Rhinolophus ferrumequinum: one gene and its partner. The protein of the gene in region 1 binds, or shares a complex with, the protein of each later gene. Links are inferred from orthologs where the notes say so. Each region holds a gene or a part of one and is shown in the gene's direction. Other genes may lie near its edges. The genes, in order: VPS39 and VPS41.

Evidence for each region.
Region 2: VPS39 (region 1) and VPS41 share a complex: the UniProt entries of both Homo sapiens proteins name them as parts of the homotypic fusion and vacuole protein sorting (HOPS) complex. The link is inferred for Rhinolophus ferrumequinum from reciprocal best matches to the Homo sapiens genes VPS39 and VPS41.

What each region holds. Positions count from the first base shown.
Region 1 is NC_046289.1:63,239,240-63,249,332, forward strand, and holds the start of VPS39 (vam6/Vps39-like protein), read left to right. Parts: upstream 1-5,848; 5' UTR 5,849-6,010; coding exon 6,011-6,083; intron 6,084-10,093. Other genes in the region: TMEM87A (transmembrane protein 87A), read left to right, coding at 542-603, 1,131-1,186, 1,740-1,770, 2,992-3,033. UniProt on the Homo sapiens protein: Regulator of TGF-beta/activin signaling, inhibiting SMAD3- and activating SMAD2-dependent transcription.
Region 2 is NC_046303.1:52,662,458-52,671,703, reverse strand, and holds the start of VPS41 (vacuolar protein sorting-associated protein 41 homolog), read left to right. Parts: upstream 1-4,690; 5' UTR 4,691-4,729; coding exon 4,730-4,750; intron 4,751-9,246. UniProt on the Homo sapiens protein: Plays a role in vesicle-mediated protein trafficking to lysosomal compartments including the endocytic membrane transport and autophagic pathways. Acts as a component of the HOPS endosomal tethering complex.

The sequences.
Region 1 (10,093 bases):
AACAGTTGATTAAGATGTATTTTGTGTATTATATGTATTATATGCTGTATTACAATTAAGCTATAGAAAAGACAGTATTATTTTAAAAATCATGAAGGAGAGAAAATATATTTACTGTGTTTATTGAAAAAAATCCACATATAAGTGGACATGCACAGTTCAAACACTTGTTCCAGGGTCAACTGTATAACATTTTGAATATCAAAATCAAGATACTTCGATATAAATACATTGTTTATTATTTTATAACTGTCCTTCCTCAGTTTGGTATGTGGTAAAGTTAGGGAGAAGCAAAAATAAAGGTATGAATCTTAAGATGACACTATAGTAAATTCAGTAAATGCACATTGAATGTCCATTTTGCTTACTAGAAATGAACTAAAAATTTGGCTTTGATCTTCCCAGCATAAATACAAAGATGGAGAAACAACTGTTGTATAATTCAATGTCAGTAAGCTTAAAATAAATCTGTAAATCCATTTTTGCAATCATTGCTGGTCTATTGACATAGTTAACCAATCTCTTTTTTTTCCTTCTTCAGAAGGAATGAAAATGAGAAGTACTAAACAAGAACCAAATGGAAATACTAAAGTAAACAAAGCAGTAAGTATGACTTCTTTTCTTTCCTGTTTGCTCTGTCTTCCTGCTTAGCAGTAATGTACAGGCCTTAATGATTTTCTTTTCCTATGCTATAATTAAGCCTACTTTTATGAATCCTTTAATATATATTGCATTTACATTTTAAAAACAGACAGCAAGTGATTCTGTTTAGGACCTATCAATCTTTAACTGATGGTTTGGCACTATGTCATTAAAAGATACCAGACTAGTCTGATGGTTCTGTTTAATGATTTTCGTCAGTGAAGTCATAGCCTCATTGATAACCTAAGGTCTTTTTGGTAGTAAAGATCGAGATTTTTTTAGTCAGCAGATTTTTTTTTTTTTTTAGAATTGTGGATTCATTCTACATTTTAATTATTTGATTTTTCTGTTAGCAGTCCCATTTATTATGTGACTATACTATTTCAGAGTGACAAAAGATTAAATTTAAAATTTTTGAGACCTTTAAATTTTTGCTTGAAATATTATTTTATTCATTTTAGTAACAATTGGTACTTGTGTGTTTCTAGCAGGAAGATGATTTGAAGTGGGTAGAAGAGAATGTTCCTTCTTCTGTGACAGATGTGTAAGTCTGAATCATTACAAAAATCTTATTTCAAAGTTAGTATTACCTTTATTATTTTAATGAATGAGCTGAAGAATATACTAAGAGAATAGAATGCTTGTAAACTTTAGAAATGTAAGATTAAATTACTTAAAAGAATAATTAAAAGTGTTAAAAAGATGTTAAACAATGAAAGATTAGGAATGATATACAAAGAAAAGTAATCAAGATTATTCGATGACATTTCTGCTTAGAAAAATTTAGCTATAGATCTTCAAAATCAATAGGATAATTCTTTTGGAATTTTTGAGTTCCTTTCTATGGCTGTCATTTTATTAAACATTGGTCCTATTACAATGCAGAACATGTTTTGTTTTTTCTATACAATTCCAGGAACTTTGCTTCTTTCTTTTGTATTTGCTTTCCCCCTCCACCTGAAAGAGCCATTAATGAGATGCAAATCTTAGATAATTATACAAAAAAGCTTTAAATTGAAATCATTATTCCACTGTCCTTTATGAACCACTTACGGCTTTATTTTATATTATTCAATTTGGTGTTTTTCTCTCTGTAGAGCACTTCCAGCCCTTCTGGATTCAGATGAGGTTAGTAATCAAATCATGTGCATAAACTGTGGGTCTGATGACTTAATAGGGAGTCTATAAGTCCTCTCTTCAGGGAGATTTTATTTATTTGATTCAGTAAGAGTATCACTGAAAAAGGATGAGAATAGACATTTATTAGAACTCAGATATTCACGAATGTTTTCTTTACATGTCCCCCTTTTCCAAAGTTATGTGGTCAGATTTGAGAATGTCTTTGTTTAAATTAGATAGTAAATACCATACTGTCCTGCTTTCTGATTTCTTCGTCTTAAGATATTCAGATTTAACCTTTATCTAATCTAAGCAAAAATAATGAAGAAAAGTATTGAGAAAGGAGTATAGTAGACCAAAGCAAGATATTTAAGTTACTACCATTCAATGTTACTAATGTCACTATCCTCTTCAGATATTAAGGATTAAAGTTAGTACCGCTAATTTTTATGTTGATTTTTAATTCTTTAATATGCCTCTACACAGTTCATCTGGAAAGCTTCACAATAAAGTCTTGGGAACTAGTTCTGGATAGGTTCTGAATATAAGGTTATTCTAGAGTCTCTTATTTCAGAAAGCGTTTGGAACGCCTCACAAAATGTGGTAAAAAGCACATAAAATGACCATCCTAATGATTCTCAAGTGCAAAGTGTTAACTATATGTACATTGTTATGTAACAGATCTCTAGAACTTTTTCATCAATGTAATTTTAATCAGTATATAACATTTCACTATATAATATCCACTATATGGATATATATCATACTGTGTTTACACAATCCCATATTTTTGGACACTTAAGTCTTTCTAATATTTTGTTGAAATTCTGAGTGTTACCATAGAAATGCTTGTGGCTAACTCTTTGCCCACATACTTGACTATTTCTTCAAGTTAAATTTCTGAATCAAATACACATTTTCATCAAAGTTTAATCTTAAGTAAACATTTGTTTAATTATCTTAATTGTCTCTAAAACATACAATTCATTTTGATTTGTGGTTTGATGTCTGAAAGCCTAGAGATTTTGATTCAGTTGAATTTTGTGTGGGGCCTGGATATCCCTCTTTTAAAATTTTCTTGGATGGTTAGGAATCATTGGTCTAAATATTTAATGAACTTAAACAAGTACTTGTGGAAAATGTATGTGTGCATGATCTATGTAGAAGGTATTTGGAATGTAGACCATTTAAAATTAAGGTACTTAGAATAAACCTTTTTTTTTCCCCTAGGAACGAATGATCACACACTTTGAAAGGTCCAAAATGGAGTAAAGAATGGGAGGCTGTGCAGTTGAAGATGGCTACTGTCTGGGAAGAGATCAGCTTCTGTGTCAGTCTTCTACACTGCTCCATGGGATTAAAGGAGGAAATGACATCTGATCTGTTCTTTGATCTTTGTGCATGGGAGCTGGCGAGAGGTGTCAGAACAAGGAGAACATGTTACTGAAAACAAGTTCATGGGATGAGAAAAATCTACAAGTTTCTTAATTTACAACATTGATGCCCTTTTCCCTCCCACACCCTGACATGGACGTTTATGCAACTTCTGTGTGTTGTTCCTGAACCTTCTATAATGTTTAAATTGTTTAATCTGTCAAACTAAAAAGTTTAACATCTTCTAAAGAACTGCGGCATCAACACTATAATATGTAACCTCCAGGAGCAACTGCCTGTGATTTTTATTTATTTAGGGAGTTACATAGGTGATTGGGGAAATTGCTAATGTTCTTTCCATTTCCTGGGAAGCCAAGGTTACATCTTGCAGAGATAGTTTTGAGGGGAAAAAAAAAAAGAAAAAAGAGTCTTTCTGACTTAAAGAGCCATGGTTCTAGCAATGATTAAAAGAAAGAAAAAAAAAAGGGAGAGAAAGAAACTGTTACAATGTAATTCAGATCATTTAAAAAAGCAAAATCAAGTGCAATTTTGTTTACAAATGGTGTATATTAAAGATTTTTCTATTTCAGATGTACTTGAGAGAGAAATATTAGCTTAACTCTTTTGACATCTGCTATTGTGACAGATCCCATTGCTGGCAATGTGGTGCACACTCCAGAACTTGTAACTACTGTTTTGTAAGCCTCCAAGGCAGCATTGAGTCCTAGGCAGTGCTTTGTTTGCCTTCATGCCATTCACTGGGTGTTGCACTAGGTGCACAGAGGCACTCTAAGTGCTGGTGAGTGAGCGCCCTGCTAAGAACTATAATTCTTCAGAAGCAGGAGCTAATACAAAGGAAACAGGTCCTTCTGGCTTAAACAGTTTTTTTGCATGACGTAGTGTGGAGGCCCTGGACTGCTGCTCATTCTGTAGGATTGACTGTTCTTGTATCTGGTGTTGGTTTAGAGACTGTTTATAAGAGACATCACAAGGTGATGGGATTCATTTGAAGCACTATATTTCTGTTTTAATGGTTTTGTCCACTTTTCCCTTCCCAAGAGTTTTGTTCTACATAGAAAGTTCATGCCATTTTTTAATATAAAAATTTTAACAAAATTAATGTGTTTCTCTTTTTTTTTTTCAAACTTTCTTTAAAGACCCTTCTTTCTCCCATGGGAGATTTTCCTTCTATGGTTTTTATTCTGTATCATCTGTTGAAACCAATGGCCCACATGACTGCAATCTTCATTAACTCATACTAATGTGAAAGTGTTTACATTGATGTAACATTTTTCTTTAGCTGTTTGCTGTCGTGATTTTAAAAAAAAAAATCACCTAAGGAACCTTATTAGGAATTAACTATATTCTCAGATTAACCTTTTGCTAAAGGCTGATATAACTGTTGTATGCTTGTGTTCTTCTATACTAAAACTTAGCAAATGAATGATCTTCATAATGCTGCAGGATAGCTGGTTAAATAGTTTTTGAGGCTGGTTAGATGTTGGCTTGGGACTAGGAGAAAAAAAACCTGTGTTAAGCAGGAGTATGTAGGACAAATTCTGTAGCCTGGGACCTGATAATTCTTTCTGTTATTTCTTAATGTTACTATGAATGTATATACTGTACCATTTTTTTCTGAATAGGTTCAGAAGGCATTTATAGTATTACATTTATTTTAGTCTTGGTCCTTGGGCCTGGAACTACCAGGTATTAGACCTTCTTCCAGCATAGCAACTAATTCTAAAATTTCAAGGTGTTCAGTTTCTATGGTAAAAATCAAACAGCACAAGATTTGTTTAGCAATTTCTGTGGTTTTTACTTCTTGAAAATATTTGATTTAAAGATGGGACAATATTTCTCATTTACAGATGAAGAAACAGACATTGTATAAAAATAGTAACCAGGGCCAGTTTTTTTACTTCATATCATAAATTCACCTCTTTTTTCTTTTATATTTTTGCTTTAAACCAAAATGCTTACTTTTATGACATACCTGTTTGTTTGTTTTTGATGCTTTTTTTGGGGGCTGGGGAGGGCGGAATTGCCAGATACAAATCATCCTTGCTTGTGGTTCTCTAAAGTTCATGGACTCACCTGGGGGACTTATTAAAACAGACTGCTGGACACCTCCCATCCTGCCCCTACCCCCTGCAGTTTCTGATTCAGTAGGCCTAGAAAGAGGCCTGAGACTTTCTCTGTATTTCTAACAAGTTCCCAGGATGATGCTGATGCTGCTGGTCTAGGGACCCCCTTTTGAGAACCACTGGCCTGGAACCTTTAAAATGCAAGGGTAAAGCTGGGATGATAATGGTAGTACTAAAACTACCACTTCTTGAGTGCTCAGTGTGTCAGGCATTGCTAAGCTCTCACAACGCTAGCTAAGTAGACAACACTGCCACTTTGCAGACGAGGAAATTTAAAAGTCCTCTGAAGATTAAATTGTTTAAACGTCACAGCGAATTTCCTAAATGGCAGATCTCCATCACAGGTCTGACGCCAAAGCCTGAATTCTTTCACCACGCCACACTGCCTAAAACAGTTCTAAGATAAAGATATTTTCCTCTCCGTGTTAATCCAATGGCTGCTCGGACTCCCCTACGGAGAGACTCGGAGTCTAGGGTGAAATGGAGACCCCAAGCATTGGTGCATTCCTTGAAGGTGCGTGGGGAGCAGTGGCGGAAGGGGCGGGACTTCGGCGGCGGAAGGGGTGGGCTTAGACAGCAGGAAGTTCGGCGTTGATGGCTCTGTTGTTGAAGGGCCTGTAGTTGGGGTCCTTGGCCGGATTCTGGGCGGCCGTCTTCTTAGCCTGGTTCTGGCCACGAGCCCGGCCGGGTACACTCAGGGTGAGACTGTCGAGGCGACGCTGCTCGTCGCCATGCATGACGCCTTCGAGCCGGTGCCGATCTTAGAAAAGCTACCTCTGCAGATCGACTGTCTGGCTGCCTGGGGTGAGCCGAAAGACCAAGGGGCTGAGGCGGGGGAAGGGGACGGCGTTTGGCTGGATGGGCTTCTGTTGGACGCTGTCGAAGAGTGCCCTGAGATGAAGGAGTGCAAAGCATTGTAGACAGCGAGGGCGGTGGGGCCGTTTTGGCGCTACCTCGGGACCCAGGCATTTTAGGGACGTTCCACCTGCCCTTGTTCTTGGTGCAGAGTTGGAAGTTGAGTTTTCCTTCTTAATTGTACTTAGCTTTGGCTCATTTCGATTTCCAAGAAGTCTTTAGTGTGGAGGCACAAGCAGTGGAAAGTATACAGCTTATCAGGGACTTGAACTTACCCAGATGATTGTGTTGCACTGATTTTGGGGGGAGTGGGTGATGGGGGGGGGTTGAACTAGTTGATGCCATATGCCTTTTACCCCCTTAGTGATGAATCATTAATCGTTCACTTCTCGTTATTGTAGGTAACTCACGTTGTTACTCTAAACTCTTAAGCTAGCCCAGTGGTGGATTGCCTTATATTCAAAGTGCCCAGCTTACCTAAGTGTAGGTCAGGAGCGTCACTCCAGGCTGTCATGAAATCGAACCCATAAAAACTTGCATAATCCTCTCGGGAGTGGCCAGTGCAGAAAGCAGGGTCAGGCCCCTTTTATTTCTAGTACACTCCAGAATACAAAAGGGTTCAGGGGTCTAAACTTTGACTCTTAACTATGAACATTATGCTCCTATCGATGAGTAATTGTGCCTAACAGCCACCAAAGACCACACAAATAATTTCAGTATTTCCTGATAATGTCCAGGTACTAGAAATCAAGGGCCTTAAAAAGGTGGCTCAGGACCCTTCATCAGATCTCATACTGAGCTAAGGACTGGTGATGGACCTAGTGGAATCTCCGTGGTGGCTGGCATGTTGTGCAGCAGCTGTGGACAGTGCCACCGTCAGCCTTGCAGAGTTCTTCAGGGCCTCTTCTTTAGGGCGCTTCCACGACAGGTCTTCATGTTAATGTGCCCCCCTTCTGCCTTTATCAGCCTTGGGCCTCTTTGGAAATCACACCTCCACAGTAAACTGTCCTAGTCCTTTGGGTTAAGGAGAGAATCCTGCTTCCTCCAGGTTGCTCAAGAAAGCCTCCATTTTCTGTCATTAAATGCTCTCAGTAAGAATTAAAAAGAAAGGAGAATTTTTTTTTTTTAAATGAAAGACCTGACACCACACAGAGGGACTGAATTCCCCTATTTCTTCATCAAATATGTGTTAGGTCTGCATGGACTAGTCTCTCTGCTAGGGACAGGAATACAAGGATGAAAAAAACACAGTGCCTGTGCTTCTAGGACACACGGGGGGAAAAAGACATAAAGCAATTATGATACAAAATAAATGATACTAGGGTTATATGCTGCCTATTGGGAAACTTGGAGGAGGGGTACCGAACTCTGCCTAGGACATAGGCTTCTGAAAAGGATGGGTGCAGCTGCTTACCACACTGCGTAGCTTGTCACATGCCTGACTCAGACCCTGTGGGATTAGCAGTACACCTGTCTTCAGCCTCTCTCACCAACTCCACGTTGTTACAGTAGAGTCCTATGTCTGTGCTTTTCAGGAAGACAGTTTTGAAATGGTAGGTAGCCTTTGGCCTGCCTTGATCTCACTAAACAAATGCCCATTGCTCCCTAGGATGCTGTGGTAAGTATTGGGCTGCAAGAGGCCATTTATCACCTCCTGCCTCAAAACTACTTTATTGTTAGACTTTAGCAGCATTAAATAGTGCTCTTTCTAGTCGTTACTCCTTTTACCTGTAGTTCATCCAGGAAGCTCCAGGAGCCAGATCATGCAGGGCCAGACAATATATGAGCTGGAAAATGCCTTGAGACACCATAATCTGTCTCCTGGGAAATGGAAATGAGGATACTAATGATGATGACTTCTCCCTAAACTCCAGTGTTGTAGAATGCAGCTGCCTTTTCAGCGTCTTCATTTGGATGTCTAGTAGCATGGCCAGAACAGTTCTTGACGATTACACTCTCCCCAAACATATCCCACGTCTGTCCCTCCGTATCCCACGTCTCAGCAAACAGCATTTCTATTTACCCACTGGCTAAGGCCGAAAATCTTGGAATCATTCTGGACTTCTCTTTTTGTCTTATACATCACATCCAATCCATCAGCAAATCTTGTCTGCATCACCTCCAGAATAAATCTAGAATCCAATCATGTCGTTCTATCTCCACTTTTTCTACTCTTGATGAAGCCACTATTCTCTCTTATCTGAATTACTGAAGATTTTATTGGGGAAGGGGAACAGGACTTTATTAGGGAACAGTGTGTACTTCCAGGCCTGTTTTCCAAGTCAAGTTGTTGTCCTTTCAATCTTAGTTGTGGAGGGTGCCGTTCAGCTTCATGTTGTCCTTTCAGTCTTAGTTGTGTCGGGCGCAGCTCAGCTCCAGGTCCAGTCGCCGTTGCTAGTTGCAGGGGGCACAGCCCACCATCCCTTGCGGGAGTTGAACCATCAACCTTGTGGTTGAGAGGACGCGCTCCAACCAACTGAGCCATCCAGGAGGCAGCTCAGCTCAAGGTGTCGTGTTCAATCTTAGTTGCAGGGGGCGGAGCCCACCATCCCTTGAGGGAGTTGAGGAATCGAACTGGCAGCCTTGTGGTTGAGAGCCCACTGGCCAATGTGGGAATCGAACCGGCAGCCTTCGGAGTTAGGAGCATGGAGCTGAGCCACCAGGCCAGCCCTCCACGTAGTGTTTTATCCACGTAGAAGTAGAGCGATCCTTTGAAAACTTAATCTAATCACATTTCTTCTCTGCTCAGAACCCTTCAGTAGCTTCCCATCATTACTAGAATATGTTCCAAAGTCCTTACCATGGCTGGCTAAACCTAACATGATCGGACCTCTGGTTACTTCCCTGACTTCATCTCCTATGCTCTTACCCCTTGTGCCTTTCTGGTACTAGTCATATGGTCTTCTTTGTTCCATGAACACACAAAGCACATACTGACCTCAGGGCCTTTGCACTTGCTGTTTACTCTGCCTGGCACTCTCTTGCACTAGATATTTCATGGCTCATTCTTCATTTCATTCAGGTCTCTGCTGAAATGTCACATAAATCAGCAAGACCTTCCCTGGTTACCTGTATTAAAGAGAATGCCACATCCACCAAATGTGCTATTCTCTTACTCAAACCTTATCTTTCTTCTTAACATGCATTGCCACCTAATGCTATTTTACATATTATTATTGTCTCCCTCACTCTATATTAGAATATAAATTCCTTCAGAGCAGGGACTTTGTTTTCTATATTCTTTATTTGCAGTGCCTAGTACAGTTCCTGACTCATAATAGGTATTCATTAAATATTTGTTTAACTAATAATAATATTAATAGTGATAGTTTCCATTTATTGAGTACTAATCACATTGAGCTTTTATAGAATAATAACTCCATTTTGCAGAGAAAGAACCTGAGAATTTAAATAAATTTTTCAAGGTCTCATATCCAGTAAATCATGTTTGATTCTAGAGCCTGGTTCCCAAACTTTAATGTATATTCAGAGCCTGTAAAAAAAATGCAAATGTGTGTGTGTGTGTGTGTGTGTGTGTGTATCTATGTGTGTATACACAATTATATTTGCTTATAGCATCCAAAGAAACAATGGAAAGATAAATCAAAAATTACCAAAATGGTTATCTATAGCGGAAGGGAGAGAGCAGGGTCTCACAGTTTTAGACTTCTCACAGTTTTAGCTTTGGAACTACATAAATGTCTCCTATAAAGAAAAATTTTAATTAAAAAATGCAAATTTCAGGCCACCACCTCAGCATCCTTGAGTCAGACAGTCTCTGGGAGCGGGGCTCGGGAATGTGCCTTTTTAATAAGTCCCAGTGATTCTGCTGTGGCTCATCAGGGACTTATGCTTTGAGAAACACTGGTCTTTGCCCTATGACCCAAAGAAGGGACGTGACCCCCAGCTTACTCCCTGCAGTGGCCAGCACTGGGCCAGGAGTGGAATTGTTTATCACA
Region 2 (9,246 bases), on another chromosome or scaffold:
AGTAAAATACTATTTCCCATCAAAATTAATTGATGACGTTTTAAAGAAAATGATAATATCTAATGTTTGATGGTAGGAGAGTATAGAGATCTCATATATAACTCTTGGGAATATAAATTCTGAGAGATGGAATCTACAAACAGACAATGGCCAGACCATATATAAAAACCAAACTCTGACCAACAATCTGCAGCAAACTGCTCAGGAAACCAACCCTTTATCTACAATAACCAGCTGTGGAAGCCAGACTGCTATTCAGGCAGACTTGCAGGAAGCCAGACTGCTATGTCTAGTAACACTCCCGGAAGCTAAACAAAAACTTCTGTAACAATCAGCCCAAAGTGGCCAGTACTCGATTAATATAACAAAGAGCTTCCTTAATCTTTATCCCCACTTTCAACTTAGGACCAACCTGAAAAAGCTAAATACGGTGTCCCGTAACTAATCACACAGGACACCGCCCTCATAGTTAGCTTGTTACAGCTTCCCCATGTCAACAGCCTCCAATCCAGGCACACCTGAAACCTTCCCTTTTTTCCACTATAAAGCTTTCGCACTCCTGCCTGCCTTTGTGGCTGCCAAAACACAAGTGATGGTGGCTGACTTTTTTGCTAAAGCAGGTTTGGAATAAATAGCCTTGTATTTTTTCACTTGGTTGGTATTCATTTATTTCTACAATTGATACCACCTTTCATTAAAGCATCTGCCAAAATTATGTGCAAGGATATTAGATATACTCAAAGTATGAATCAAAAACAATGAATTATATAAATTATGGTATTTTCCTAGAATGAAATTTTAATGTGCACCATTAAATCACGATTTTGAACATTTTATAATGATATTGGGAAATGATCTTGAAATATAACTAAGTGAAGAAAGCAAATGACAAAACTTAATAATATGATTTTTGTTTTAAAAACTTCAAATAAACACAAAGAGAGGAGAGAGAGATAGAGGTAGAGGTAGAGATAGAGAGAAAAGAAATATATCCAACAATGATAATCTGAATGGAAAAATTATAAGTGGTTTTTGAATTTTACTTGTATTTTTCCAATTATCTGTCATGAATATGCATTACTTTTGTAATTAGAAAAATGGTCTTTAAAAAAATCTAGTGTGTTTGTACAGGGAAACTTCCAATAAGCTCTATGTTAAAATGATATCTAGAATATTAGAAGGTAACAGGTTTCAGTGGGTATAGGTTTTGGAAAACTAAACAGCAAAATAAGCTGAGTATTTCCAAAATTCCTAAAAATAACAAGTATTATTCTGGCTACTTGGGAGAGACAATTAAGGAAAGGCTAAAACCATTGCTTGGAGTCAGTAGTGTAATGTGGTGTAGCTGTGCTTGTCACTGGCTATCGAGAAAGATCGTTAGACTGGAAAAGGTAGCAATCTAAGAAGGAATGGAAGCTAAAGATTAGGAAAAGAATCTATAAATTACCACTTAATTATAAGTGATGTAGGGACAACTTTTTTTTTTACCTCACCTTTCCACTTTGCTGATTTTTTAAATTTAATAAATTTAGAAATACTGTCCTATAATGGAAAATATTGAAGCCATTCATATTGTTTAAACAATGAAGTAGGTTGTTATTAATAAAATTACAATTTATTGAATTAGTAAACTACTTCAGATCTATATAACAAATTAATGAGACAAATCCTTAAAAACCAGTGAAACTATAATGTTTTAGGTCTGGTTTGAAGTCTATTCCCAGTATTAGGTCCTAATGACTGCAAATGAGAAGTTGATTCTCACCTCTACCTCCATAGCTTGAAAGTGGGAGAGGTGAACTGATGATGCACAAGAAAGAAACAGGTGATTTGCCAGAGAATGAAAGATTCTTAGGCCTAACACTTCTCCTTCAACGTAAATATACCAAGGGATATAATTAAAACCCAGATTCTGGCTCAGTGGGTCTCTGGAGGGGCCCTGAACTCCTCATTTCTAATAAGCTCCCAAGTGAGATTGAGGTTGCTGGTCTGTGGACCACAGTCTGAGTAGCAGGAGCTAGACGACCTTCTAGAAAAGGGAACCCCAAACTTTCACGACAAAACATGGGGCTTGGAGGTCACATGTGAATTTCATCTTGCCCATGGGCCCAGGGTGAACCTTCTTGCCTCTAGGGGTTTCTTCCTCTAATTCATCTTTCCATATATGTGTTTCTTCATCTTTCTAGTCTGTCCAAAAGGAAATAGTAATAGATCCAAATGCTCATCATATTTTATTATAGTCAGAACACTGAATGGGGAACAGATTTGGGGGTATCCAGAGTCTTCGAGGTTGTGTGAGCAGGGGAGTACCTGCAGTGACCTTCGGCTAAATCTTCAGTCAGGCCCACTAGACGTTTATTTATGGGTAGGTCTATCTCAAAATGGAAAAAGGGAAAATTACAGTTTGTGAAGAAAGTTAGAAAAGTAGAAGGTTTAAGCTTATTTCTTTTTCCTCTGGAGACTTGACTGGGGGTTTCCAGAGCCTGTTTGGTCTATATAAGAGTCTTTGTGGGACTTGGAACCCATCATGAGCAATATTTGGTCCTGGGCTGCTTTGCAAGAGAGCTTAATGTATTAGGTGCTTGGCTATGGATATCTAAATGCCTTGGGGTTGGTCTATCTGTTCATTCCCTTGTGATCAAGTGATCAGCAGACTGGAAGAGGGACCCCCACAAGGGTTGGAGGAAGAGGATAGAAATGAGGCCGTTTAGGCCCTGGGGAGAAGACAAATATCTCAGATAAGGTCATCCTCGTCATGAGAATCATGGGTTGATCAGTGTGGGGACAGAGCCCCAGAGAGCAGTGTCCAGGCTCTCGGCCCCATGTGGAAAGGTGCTGGCTCAGGTAGTAGATGGCCATCAGCTGTGGCTGGTTGGCCGTCAGCTGTAACCATTGAGCCATTGGCCACTAATATAACTGCCGCGGCTACGGAGGGAAGTCGAGGAGAGAGGAGGAGATTGAAGGAGAGTGGAGGAGAGTCGGTCGGTTGGCAGCAAAGCGGACAGCAGGTCGCATGTCGTGTAAACCCAGCGAGACCATAGTGGTATGACTTCCCTACCTATGGCTCCGTGGGTGTTCCTTTTTGGCCTAGCCATATCCTGCGTTCTTGTGTGGGGAGTGGGACCAGAGACCCCTCATGCCACCCTGCATGACAATCAGGCTACAGCTAGAGACCTGGAAAGCACAGAGTGCTGAGACCATGACTTCCAACTAGGTGTGAGTCAATTAGCTCAGCGAGTCAAAAAGGGCACTGGGCACATACCACATGCTGCCATTTGTGATGCCCTCTGCTAGTTACCAGTTACTGGACATGCGTGGAAAGAAGAAAATGCCTGTCTTTGGACAAGATACTGCAAATTCCTGAGGATTAGGAAGGAGAGTTCAAAGTGCACAGAAAATGGAGATGAAATCATTCATGCGCAAGGATGGACGTAATACAGTGGTTTTGAGGCAGGATAGATAGCCTAGGGTATTGACCCTCTCTCCAGGACACTGAATGAGGCACATCCCTTCAAGGAAGTAAAACAGGAAACTGAACTGCACCTGACACCTGCGGTTAGAGATAAACAAGAATTAGTTTCATCTGGCAGGGACATTATCCATGACCCAAGCCTAACCTTTAGCTAATTTTAATGTCATTTACACTGTATTTGCCTCGACTCCCATCATACACCTGACGTCATGACAGTTCCAGAGGAACCAAATAAGGACAAAAAGGAGGAAAACGAAGATCCCATCCCTAGAGAGGAGACAGGATGATGTCCTTAAATTCCTGCCCCCTCAGGAAGATAAAAACCCTAATCAAGACCTTCTAGGGTGACTCGATTTCTGAGTTCACCTGCACTTCCCTCTCAACTGTTTACTTTTGCTTTGATAAACTCCCTGTGTTTTCCTGCATCTGTCTTGCTCCTGAATTATTTCCCATGTGAAGAAGAGAAGCTGGTTTTTGCTCCTAGTGGATCTGCTTCGGGACATACTGGGAACCTCCGGCATCAGTTTTACATATTTTAGCAAGGACAAATTTTTATTCTATATTGAATATTTACCTATAGAATATACTCAATAAAAGTTTAACCTATAATTTAATTAAACAACAGAGAATTGTTTACTATCAAATGTCCAGATGCCAGATGTCAACTTACGGTAACAAGAAGTAGGAGCTAAATAAATATTTTTGGAGTATAAATTGTTCTTTGGTCTTCCTTCGTGAAGACTGCTTTATATTCACTTAATATACATAAAAAACAAGGGCAAGAACATTTTTAGACTAAGCAGCATTTGGTAATTAAGTCTTTGGCATTAGATGAGACCAAATTTGAATCCTGTTGCTGTCTCTTACTTAGCTGTCTGACCTCTGAGGCACCATATTCTCCTCTATAAATGGGGATAATAGTGGGAATTGCTGGGAGGATTAAATGAGATAATTCATGTAAAGCTGTAAATCCAAGGTCTAATACACAGTATATATTAATAAAAACTATAACAATCACGGAAAAAATAAGACCATCAATAAAATAGAGCATTATTAGTGGTTATGTTCAGATTCTCCAAAGCATAACTTCATTGAGCTTGGAGAGCTGAAAGCAGAAACAAGGCCCAATAGCCTCACCAGCTAGAAAAGACATCCTGGCTCACATGCTGCTAAAACTACATTTCCCAGCAGGCGCGGGGCCCAGTTGTCCCGTTTTCTCTCATTTCCGGGTCTGTCACGTGATTCTCCGGCTGCACCATGGCGGAAGCAGAGGAACAGGTAAAGGCTGCAACTGCCGGGCATGGAAAGAGGAGACCAGGGTGAGGTGGTCGGGGGTCTGGAGTGGAGCGTGTGGAGGTGCGGAGCTGCTGGAGGCCGAGGCGGCCCACTGCGCGGTTGGCGGTCAGCGAAAGGCCATTTCGGGAGCAGAGAAACGGGCGGGATACCAGCTCTTGGAGGGCGCCGGGGAAAGCTCACCGACAAACTCCCGGCGTCTTGAGGCGGCCCGTTTTTTGGGGGGCGGGGGCTTTGGGGGGACTCTGTCCCTGTGGCCTGTGCTCGGTGAAATTTTGGCTTGAAGGCAGCCTGGGCTCCCAGGGACTGACTGCCCGTGGGAGATGTAAGAGATGACTTGAGCTCCAGGCCAGGTGACTGAAATATAAATTCCTTTCCACTCGAAGCAGAACAGGGAGAGCCGATTTGCAGGAGGGTTGGGAGAGAGTAGATGAGTTTTGTTTCGTATCTATTGCATTTAGGTGCAAAGCTAAGTCACCATGGCTGGTGTCTTTCTTAATATGTAACTTTCGGCTAGTTATTTTTTACTTTGTAATTTAACTTTAAAATACAAGGTGGAGATAATAACAATGTCGTCCTTCAAGGGTGGTGTAAGTTGGAATGAGTTAGTACACAAAGTTAAAGTGCTCAGTAAAAGTTGGGCATAGTAAAGGTTAGGAGGAAGTATTGTTTCTGGTAGGACATCAGATGGCAGTGTCATCTAATGTCCAGTCAGAACCTAGCCATGTGGCACTGGAGTTTAGGGTAGAATTTAGTGAGGGCGGTAGTTATTTTCATACAGGCAGTATGGGCAGGCAGACATTAGTTGAAATGACAAAGTAACATAAAAAAGACAAAAAGAGCAGAGGCCAGAACCTGGGGAAATACCTGTTTCCATCTCCAGGGTCATGTCAGCTCAGCACTGTTTTCCCTCACAGATTAACAGGCCATCAGTTTCCATAATTGCCTCTAAGAAGTGGTTTGATGATGAGCTGTTTAGTACTGTAAGAACAGAAGTTTACCTCGTCCATAATTTGTACCATTTGCAATATACTTCATTTACATAATGAAAATTTGCCCTGTGTACATTGATTTATGCCAATAATCGAGAAATTAGGTATAGATTTGGTTTGGGTGGTCATTGTGATAACTTAAGAGTCTCCTCCTTGCCACTGGAGCCTCCCTTTTCTGTTCCAAGCGGTTCGAAGGAAAAGGCTCATTAAGCACTCGTAACTTCATGACTCATTGCTGGTTTTCATATTTCATTTTGAAATGTAATTTTTTAGTGGTTTGATTTAAAAGCCAAAAACCAAACTCCTTATGTTCTTAGGTATAGAGTGGTAGAAATGGAGAGAATTGCCCTTAGGATTTACTGTTGTTTTGTGCAGAAGAGTTCGACAAAGCTGTCTGATGTAGAAAGACATGTAGAAAGTTAGCGATAAAATAAGAATGCTTTGAATTTTCACAGCACTTTTCAGTTTAAAGAACACTTTCACATTACATTTGTTCCTCACAAAAGAATTCTGTGTGGTGTTTATTCTGATGTATAAGTCAGGAAAAGCACTGTGTTCTAAACCTTCCAGTGGTGTCTTATTGCACTGAGGAAAAGCTTGAATCCTGGTAACGGCCTATTTGCCCTATAGGTCTTTGCCCCAGTTGCTCTACTATCCCTCTTCTCTGATCTCATTTTACACTAGTGTTCTTCCCTTTTGTCACTTTGCATCAGCTATACTGGCTTTCTTTCTGTTCCTTTAACAATGCTGGCATGTTTCTACCTAAGGACCTTTGCTCATGCTGCTCCCTTTTTTGACCCCAGATATCTACAGGGCTTCCTCCCTCGTTTTCTTCATATCTTTGTCCAAGTGTTACCTTTTTGAGTGAGAACTTCCCTGACCATTCTTTGAAATCTCTTTCCTGCATTATTTTTCTCCTTAGCAGTCATCGTCCTTTTTCCCCCTGTATGTTTCTGTATTCATTTCTGTATATTCTCCCCATTAGAATGTAAGATTCCTGATGGCAAGGATTTGTTCACTGCTGTATGCCTGACACTTAAGAGTCATGCTTGATGCTCAATAAGTGTAAAATGACTGAATATTAAAGATAAACATACTGAGATTCAGACAACTTAAATAACTTGCTCAGACTTGTTTGTATAACAAATCTCATCTTTTATCTTCAGAGCTTTTCCCTAGAACACCCTGCCTTTTAAAAAATATTTAAGAACCTAATTCTAAATTATGTTTTTTACTTTATGAAGTAGAATTAGCCCTTATCACCTTCATAAATTTCCTTCAAGTCATTATTTCATCTTTGATGTTTTAACCGCAACATATGGTTAGAGCAGACATTCACCCCTCCTTCCCACCTCCAGTGGTGTCATTGTCATTTTCAAAAAGACCAGTAGCCTATTGTCAATAGCAGGAAGGAACAAACATTCACAAATATTGTTTTGTTCTTTTTTAAAGAAAAGTAGTAAATAATTGTACCTATGTTATCAGTCCTTTATGGATTAAAAATGGTTAAACTTTTCTCTGCTTTATTTGTGTATTTTGCATTAAAATCTGACCAAGAACCTTTTAGAAAATCTTGACATAACTTTCCTCTCTCCCCTGAATGCTTTAAAAAGTGAGATGATTTTTAGAAGTAACTGTGATGACAGGTTAGGGAAAAGGAAGCTTTTTTCCGTTGGCACCTTGTACTATAAATGCAAACAAAACTAGAAGATGATGAGCAAGACTAAGCCTCTCCCGTTAACTTTTCTGAGCATTGTATTCTTTGATGATTGCTTTTTATCCCCCTTTAATTTTTGGAAGAATCAAAATAGATCTGTGTACTGAGTGAATTAACAAAATGTAAAACAGTTCATAGACTGTCAAACTAAAAATCACTTTATGGATATGAATGAACATTTTTAAAGAATTATCAGGAAACCTTTGTTTATGCTGAGTATAGTAAAGGTAGTTCACAAAAATAACTACACGAATGTTATATAGTTTACAGGAAGAACTAATACCCTGCCTTCTGCCTGGAAATCTTCTAAACAGCAGTTTTACCTTGCACCAAAATGATTTATAGTTGACCTTCATATACAGATGCCCAACAGTATTTGTCCATACCTCTCTTATGAATAACATTCTGCTTGAAGTCTGGATGTTTGTGTATTTGTCTTATCTCTTCTGCAGATTGCTGAGTCCTCAAGAAGAAGGACGAGAGCTTACTCATGTCTGTATTTCTCATAGAGCTAGTGCTTTACAGGTACTAGGTGCTTAGTAAAATGTTTAAATGAATTTATTAAGGATAGAATGACCTTCTGAATTGAAAATGTCAAATTGTAAGTGAGGTTTTAGTAGGATGTATGTTGTTATTTTTCTTGAAACTTTTGAAAATTATTAATTCAGATGTATTGTAGATTACATTCCCTACACGTCTTACTCTGCCAGCTCCCCAGGTACCCTTTCAAACAGTAGGGAGCCTTGTCCGAGCCTCGTCCTTTAAATATTTGCTCATTTAGACCATCTATTTCTTCACCGAATAGGAGAGTTTCTGTTTTGAAGTCTCCCTCTTTGCTTTAGAAATGAGAGAAATGCGTCCTTATCGTAGAGCATTTGCAGATTGTCAGAGACATGTTCATGAGCACATACCCTTCCATGTATAAAAGAAAAATCGACACATATTTGAGCGCCTTAGTTTTCTTGTCTGTAAACTGAGTATTCTACTCTCCAGGACTCTTGTGAGTATGACATGAGATAAAACTTTTTTTTTTTAATTTTATTGGGGAATATTGGGGAACTGTGTGCTTCTCCAGGGCCCATCAGCTCCAAGTCGTTGTCCTTCAATCTAGTTGTGGAGGGTGCAGCTCAGCTCCAAGTCCATTCCCGTTTTCAATTTTTAGTTGCAAGGGGCGCAGCCCACCATCCCGTGTGGGAATTGAACCCGCAACCTTGTTGAGAGCTTGTGCTCTAACCAACTGACCACCTGGCTGCCCGAGATAAAGCATTTTAAAGTGGCCAGATTGAAATGGTTGTCTTTAAATAGTACAACGATTTATAATCCAAATGTGGGCTTGGCTTAGGTATGCACGAATCTCTTTTCTTACAGTTTGGCTAAGACACACCTATTAAGAGCAACTTTACTAATAACTAAAGGAAAAAGAAAGCCCCAAACAAGAAGGTGCAAAAGCACAGGGTCAGAAATTTTTAGGGGGCCCACTCTTCACCATTGTGTAACTATAGTCACGAGTTAGCTTAGCTGCACATGCTTATTGCCTTGTTAAGTTTTCCTCTCATATTTGTCTGTGTTGGTTGGTTAGAGGCTGCTGTCACCAGCTGATTATTAGCAGTCTTTCTGCCACCAGCAGTGCCACCTCAGAGAGGGAGCCCTCGTCAGATCAGGGCTTCTGGGTTCCCCATTCATGGCTGCTCAGTCACAGTTGCCTTTTTGTCTTCTAAGTACTTGGTCCTCCTTATGTTTTTGTTACCAAATACGTGTGATTCTAGGCTCTT